Alligator mississippiensis: one gene and its partner. The protein of the gene in region 1 purifies or fractionates together with the protein of each later gene. This does not show direct contact. Links are inferred from orthologs where the notes say so. Each region holds a gene or a part of one and is shown on either strand. Other genes may lie near its edges.

Evidence for each region. The genes of interacting proteins can lie anywhere in the genome.
Region 2: the proteins of EED (region 1) and AEBP2 purify together in Homo sapiens (affinity purification with mass spectrometry; 6 studies listed by BioGRID and IntAct, counting the BioPlex papers as one, with this or other methods). This does not show direct contact. The link is inferred for Alligator mississippiensis from reciprocal best matches to the Homo sapiens genes EED and AEBP2.

The regions. Positions count from the first base shown.
Region 1 is NC_081824.1:458,979,866-458,983,611, forward strand, and holds the start of EED (polycomb protein EED), read right to left. Parts: upstream 2,929-3,746; 5' UTR 2,914-2,928; coding exon 2,791-2,913; intron 1-2,790. UniProt on the Homo sapiens protein: Polycomb group (PcG) protein. Component of the PRC2/EED-EZH2 complex, which methylates 'Lys-9' and 'Lys-27' of histone H3, leading to transcriptional repression of the affected target gene.
Region 2 is NC_081827.1:123,059,088-123,062,833, reverse strand, and holds the start of AEBP2 (zinc finger protein AEBP2), read right to left. Parts: upstream 2,870-3,746; 5' UTR 2,785-2,869; coding exon 2,201-2,784; intron 1-2,200. UniProt on the Homo sapiens protein: Acts as an accessory subunit for the core Polycomb repressive complex 2 (PRC2), which mediates histone H3K27 (H3K27me3) trimethylation on chromatin leading to transcriptional repression of the affected target gene.

The DNA.
Region 1 (3,746 bases):
AGGATCATGGACTGAAGGCCCTAACTATCTCCTCCTACCTGAGCACCTTCTTCACTTAACTGTAGAACTGTGCTTATTCATGCCTTGCCTCTTTGCCGCAAGGCATCATGTAATGTGTTATACAGTGGAGTGCACCTTCAACTGGAGGAGTGGTGAGTGCCTTGTCCCTGACTTGATTGTATCTTGGTGATCACGACAGTTTTAGGTGAGAGTTTGTACTTCGTAAAACTGAGGCAGGCATTGAACCTTGATCTCCTACTTCCTGCAGAAGAGCTCTAACCACAAGGGTATATATATGTAGGGTGAGTGATAGCATCACCACCTCCACTGGTTGTGTTTTTGAATGAAAGTGGCTGAGACTGCAATTTCTTGCTGTATTTTTTCTTGTCAGTATGTAGTAGGTATACTCAAAGCAGGCCTATCAGACTGGCATCTTCAGTGGACTTGGGCTTAGTATAAAGATCCCAAATGGGCTTAGATGTGAGGCAGTCCTGCCTACGTGACGTCAGTTCTGGACACGTGGGGATTTTGTCCTTTGCCAAGTCCTTTTTCTGCCTAGGAGGTTACGGAGAGGGTTAGCACTCTTATGAGGAGTCTGTGAAGAAGTCCTCTTTTTTGTGCTTCTGGACCATCATGACCAGAAACAATCAGTTCAATTTACAGAATATAGATGCTTCTTCTATTTAACTAATCAGTTAGTTTTATATATTAAATGGAATTCAATACGGCTCTTTTGTGTTGTATCTAGCACTTAACCTAGTTTTAACTAATAAAAAATAAATTAAAATGCAGACAATCAGCATTTTAATTGAAATCAGATTTCCACCCTGAAGAAGCTTTATGAACATCCCAAAACAAAAATGAATGGTTTGGCAAGTAGGTAATGATGAACACGGTGATTATTGCATTTTATTATGTTAACATATATCAATGTATTTCTAAGCTGTATAATTGCTCAAACATATACTTAATATAGCCTTCAAGTTAGTAAAGACAAGTACCAAATTGGTAGAGGTTATATTAAACTATCAAGACCTGCCTTAATAGTTACTACCTACTGAGAACCTGCCGTTCTTTAGGAAAAAAGAACCAAAAAGCAATGAATAAAAATAAATAGAACACGATTTCTTAGATATGCATATATTCCTTGGCATTTCTATGTTTCTAACTTTCTGGTCATTCTTTCACATGTTGAGATCTGAGAGACTTTTCCATAGATTTTAAAGTTAATTTTGGAGATCTCAGTCTTACAGTGACCTCTGTTCAGTCTATTTGTAGCCCTTTCAGGACGGAGAAAGGGACTACTTACTGATACGTTTTTCTATAAAGGTCAAGTCACAATTTATTGTAACACTGCACTGAAAAGTGTTTTTACAGAGATGTAAGTACCTATGCACGTATACAATAAAACGTCACTGTCAAATAGGGTGTAACACTCAATTCCTCTGCATGGCCTTACTTCCTTCTTATTAACTACTAGGGCTGTGTGAAATTTCGCTGAGTGTTTCCTTTCGAAGCTGTTTTGACGTGTTTTGAGCTCAAAACAGCAAAATCGAAACGAAACAAAAAGCATTGAAACAGCTTCGAAACATTTTGAATTTTGAAGCAGCCCGGTGGTGGGAGGCAGGGGAGAGCCAGGGCTGCGCTCCAAGCAGCTCCGCAGCCCCATGTTGCTCAGCCCGGTGGGGAACGCAGCCCTGGCTGTCCTCACTTCCTGCCACCGGGCTGCGCTCTGATCAGCTCCACCAGCCCCATGGAGCTCAGCCGTGGTGGGAGGAGGCGCACAGCCCTTGTAAGGCAGTCCTATGATAGTCGAGGTCTGAGAACTAAGGTCTCAGCCTCATACCTAATTTTTATTCATAGGTTAAAGAGAAAACCCAAGCTTTCCTGGTTCACATCAGTTTCTCAGTTATGAACAACCTAGTCGTGGTACAGAAAGGAACATCACAGGTGAAGAACGTATTCTTTCTGTACCTACTCAGGCCACAGCTGTCAGAAGTTGACTCATCGCTTCAACAAAGTTTTGTTTCAGATCAATAACCCTTCGCTTCAGCACTGCAACTTTTTTTTGAAGTTTTTGGCCACAAATACGTACGGTTTGGCTGTTTCCGCCCAGGGGCAGCCAACCTGCAGCCCAAGTAGCACAAGTAGCATTGGCAGCCTGGCACAGAGCAGACTGGGGAGGGGACAGGCAGCCCAGTGGCGGATTGGGCAGGGAGCAGATAGCAGAGCAGCCGATCAGGCAGGGGAAGGGGACGGCAGTGACACCTGGGAGAGGATGCAGGGATAAGCTGTGACACGCCTGCCGAAAAGAGTTGCTCCTTGCTGTTTAAGAAAGTGCTAAGGAAATTCAGGCCTTCAGGCAGGCCTATTTCATGTGCCACTCACAAGTATACACCCCCTTACACACGCACGTATATACACACCCCCTACACACACAATTCAGGACCCCACGCAGTTGCCACCTGTCACTAGGAGCCCGGCGCACACGTCTGCCCTGGGCCCCGCCAATCCCAGACTTCATGTCTCTACCCTGCCCTTGCGGACCCCCCATTCCCACTTTCATTCCCCCCCAAAACAGAGCCCATGGGGGCGGACCGCCCCCCCCCATTATGACACCTCTGATGCTGTCCCCACGTGGGCGCCCGCGGGCCTGTTCCATTCCGAGCGGGGGGGGGGATTCCTGCCCCCCGCCCCAATGGACGCGCCCGGCCGGCCCTGGGCCCCTGCGGCCCCGCAGCGGAGGGAGGCCCGAGGCCGCCCCCAGCCCCGCCGCCGCGCCCCGCTCACGTTCTCGTCACCGGACAGGTCCCCGGGGTTGCTGTTCTCGTCACTGCTCAGCTTCTGCTTCTTGGCCGGCATCTCGCTGCCCGCGCCCGCCGCCGCCGCCGGCGCCTCTCCCCGCTCAGACATCTTCCCCGCCCCCCGCCACGCCGCCGCAAAGCGCGCCCGGGCGGGCGAGGGCAGACACTGCCGTAAACCGCTGCCCCTCCACCTTGCGCCGTGTCGTAATGCGCGGCTGCCACACTGCGGGAAAACCCCCGCCCGCCTGTCTGCAGGGACCGAGCAGCCGTAGGCGGGGCGGGACTGGAGCAGCTGCAGAGGGGGAGGATGGGCTGCTTCGGGTCCAGGGAGCTCAGAGGGGTTCATATGCATGTTGTCATGTGCATTATGGCCCATCTCCAGGGCCAGCTCCCGCAGCCCCTCTGCCAGTGCCCTGGGGGTCTCCTTTTGCTGGAGGAAAGACCTCCCAAAGCAAGGGGGAGATGTGTCCGCTGCCCTGAATTGGGCACCTGCGTCTGAAAATAGCCACCGGCAGGTCTATTCTGCAAACGGGCGAGGGACATCATCGTGCAACACCCGCTATTTTCCAGTTAAAAAAGAAACTAGATGCTTTGCTAATGGGCCCCGGGTCCTCAGGCCAGGTTATTGTGTTTCAGGTGGAAGCGAAAACTCCTACAACTTGGTGAGCAGGAGTTACAAAACAACCGGCAGGGTTGTGAAATAGGAGCTTAGTGACCAGGAGCAGCGAACTGCAGAGTGGGAAAACGAAGGCTGGCTTCCTTGCTGCAACCTCCAGACCATTCAAAAGAAGAGAGAGTCATTAATGCCTGTGGAAAGAAGGGATCTAAAGTATATAAGTATATCGGGGTGTGTATTCACCAGGGCACCCCAAGGGAAGGCAAGGTTCAATGGTCACGAACTGCTGGAAGACTGTTTTACATTGGACATAAGGAAAAACTTTA
Region 2 (3,746 bases), on another chromosome or scaffold:
AAAACTACTACTACCAACCCAAAAATCCAGAGGAAACCAAAACCAAAACAGAAGTTATGCTGTGTTGGGGAAAGTGTACTTTCTGTAGAGCACTTCACAGGCATCACAGAACAGAACAGCCCCTGCCACACCTTGTCTCTGGGGCCCCTACTCCTGTGACTGAATCTGAAAAAAAGCAACAAGGGTGCTATGAGTGGGTGCAGAAAACTGCATGCACAGATTTAGATGCACGGCCATCTCAGAACATGAAAACAGACACACACAAAAAGAAATAGCGAGAAAGTTGGGGTTCCCACAAGTCCCACCAGATAATAGGTAAATTGTTTAAGAGAAACTCTGCCATTTTTTTCTATTGCTCTCCTATCCTAACCCAACTACTTTTTTGGGTTGAGCCCCACAGGTTAGCGAGCTCCCCTCTTCTAGTCTAATATTTCAAGGACTAAGCCACCCGAATATATGATCTGATTTAGATGAGAAGAAAAAATGCGTACTTGCAACTGCCAATCTTCACAAGTTTATGGCACATCTAGCAGAGAGACTCTCTCTTAAAGACACAGGATTTCATAAAGTCTCATCTTTCACTTAAAAAAAAAATGTTTCTAAGCCTTAGGGTTGCAGAGAAAAGGTTGATAATCTGACCAACATAAAAGTTGAACCCAAAGAAAGAAATAATAATAATAATAATAATAAAATATCTCTTCTCTCTCTCTATAAAAGTGTAATGATTTTTAGATCAAGTCACTTGATTTAAAAATCTGTTTGGGGGCACTTGTTACACAGCTCATGAACACTTGGGGTTGCGCATTGAAGCCTCCTACACATCTGCAATTTTAACATCCCAGAAAACCCTAACAAATTCAGAGTAGTGAAAAACACAGCTTTACTATATTTTCAAATAAATCTTAGAACCCAACTATGAAAAAATCCCTATATAGGTTGTGTACTTTACCAGTTTAGATTACACAGACAGTGGTTAAAGTAAACTCTACATTACACATGAAATTAATTGCTCATTTAGAAAACTTCATATAAATGGATAAGAACTTTTATAGTGTATGGAACTCAATTATTTTTCTGAATAGATCCAATTGTATACATATTATATAGCCAGATATAAAATTGAGGAATGGTTTTCTAAAGGTAACAGCTACATGTATTCTTAACCCACACTAGAGTTAAGGGGGGGAAATAATAAGAAGGAACAAAACTGCCTACATACTTTTTAGTGAGAAAAAAATATGTGGAAAGGTTTTCCCATGTAATGGAAGGCAGCATGTGTTAGAGCAAGTACATTAAAATTCTCTAAGAGAAGTGTTACAGCCAGGTTGCTACTTCCTCTCTGTAGGACCTAGACATTTATACTGAAACTGACAGAACGCATCAAAATAAACTCAGTTTAACGTTTAACATTTCACCTTAGACTATTACAACACACTAGCTGTACTGCAATGGGAAGTACAACTTCAGAGACAGGTTAACTTAAAACAAATAAACAAAACAAAACAACAGCACCCCGGAAAAACTATGAAACTTTACAATGCAAGTATCCACCTTCTATTAAGCTATGCTTACAAAAGCCTCCTGTAGGTACCAGACTGAAGGGCTTCCAAAACATAAATAAGTAAATAAATCCAGGGGGCTGCATTTCAAGATTCACTACACTTGATCCTAGCCTACAAGAGGCTGAGAAGCCCCAAACCCAACCCAATCTGTCCAACCCTTTTGGGGGGGGGGGGGAGAAGCACAACCTTTAGGACCAAGTAGATTTTTACACCTGTATAAATCAGTAACTGTCCTGTTCAGGGTCACGAAACCCAGCCAGTGACAAAATCATATGCAGGAGGCTCTTCGTCCCCCAGAAGCTGAAGGGACAAATGACTTTTACACTTCTCCTGGCAATTCTCAACCCTGTGTATGGGGGAGAACACAATGGGACAACATGAAGTACCCCAGGGTGCCTGCGGACCCTTTCTAGGGTGCCGCACAGCATACACCCGGCCCTTAGGTGAGCAGACACGAACCCCACCAGAGGGGTGTAGTGGAACTCGGCAGCCTTACAAACGCCACGAACCGAGGTGTTTGCAACAGCAGAGCTGCCCGGCCCCTTCTCTCGGTGGCCGATCGGGGGGGGGGGGGGGGGGGGGGGGGGGAAGGTGGAACCTGTGGCTGACGGGCAGGGCGGTCCCTCCGTTGAACCCACCTGTCCTCCGAGTCCATGCGGCTGAGCGGCTCCCCGTCCGACGACATCTCCAGGCTGCCGCGGCGGCCACCCGACGTGGCACTGCAGCTGCTGCTGCCGCCGCCACCCGTGCCGTAGCCCTCGTCCGCGCCGCTCGACACGCTGCTGCTACTACTGCTACTACTACTGCTGCTGCTGCCGCCGGCCCCGCAGCCCCCCGCGCCGCCGCGGCCCGGCCCTGCTGCCTGCCCACCCCGCGGGCCCTTGGGCTCATCCTTGGCGTCCGCCTCGCTGCTGCCGCCGGGGCTGAGCGAGCGCGTCTCGTCGCTGCAGCAGCCGCTGCTGCTACCCGCCAGGCTACTCCTCTCCTCCTCCTCGCCGCCCTCCTCCTCCTCGTCCTCTTCCTCCTCGTCGCCCGCCTGGCTCGCGCTGCCCGGGCTGCGCTCCGACATGCTCTCCGCCTCGCCGCCCAGCAGCAGCAGCACCGCCCGCGGGCCCGCCCCGACTCCAGCCCCGCCGCCGGCCTCCGCTCCAGCCTCCTCCTCAGCCGCCTGGCCGGGCAGCGGCCCCTCCAGCTCCGCCATGTCGCTGCGAGCAGCCGCCATGGCGCCTCCGAGCCGCCGTGCGTGCGTGCGTGTCCCCGCCCGTGTACGTGCGTGCGTGTGCGCCTGTCCTCCTGCTACCGCCGCGCCGGGCAGCCGCAGAGGGAGGGGCCGCCGCACGCGCTACGGAGCGCGCCCGGGGACAAAATAGAGCCGTTGGAGGAGGGGGGGGGGGCAGCGCCTGGCGCCCGCGGAGGAGGGGAAGCGAGAACGAGGCTTCTGCATAGGACGGGCTGTTCCAAGTGCGAAAGGGGAGGGGGCAGAAGTAGATGGAGCGCTGCATTGCGCACACACGGGAGGGAAGTTGCGCGGCTCCTGTTGTGGACTCGCCCAGTGCCCCTGGGCTACTCACGTGGTGCCCCCTGCGCCTGTGGAGCAGCCGTGGTGGCCAGCGCAGCAGCCTCACCCTGGGGTGCCTGTCCCATGTGCCACGGGGTGCCACAGGGCGAGGCTTTCACACGGGGAAGCCCCCCGGTACTTACCTGGCAGGGGAATACCATAACCATGAAGGTGGTTTTCCTAGTTGTAGGGGAAAACCACTTTCTTGGCAGGGGGTAGTATCCTGATGGAGATAATCCAGCGGGCAGATCTTGGCTACATGCCGACTCCTCCTGCACGTGCTCCTGCAGCCATGCCCCCGAGGGCAAGGGGAACTCGGGGGCACCTGAACCCCAAGCTGCCAGGCCTGCACAGAGGATGCCCATCAAAGGATTGAGAAGCATCTGAAGCCCCAGGCAGGGGTGGAGCAGTGCCACGTTTGATTCTGGAATGACTCGCGGATTTGGAATCGATTTGGCTTGGAACATGAACATTTTTCCTTAAAAAACAAAGTGTTAAGTGCAGGCAGCTCCCTCATGGCCTCTCTCAGTGCTGGGGTTCCCCTGCGTGAAATCCTTCCAAAGCCTGTGTGTGCACACCTCGCCCTGTGGCACCTGGGACAGCCTAGCCAGGCACCACAGGGCGAG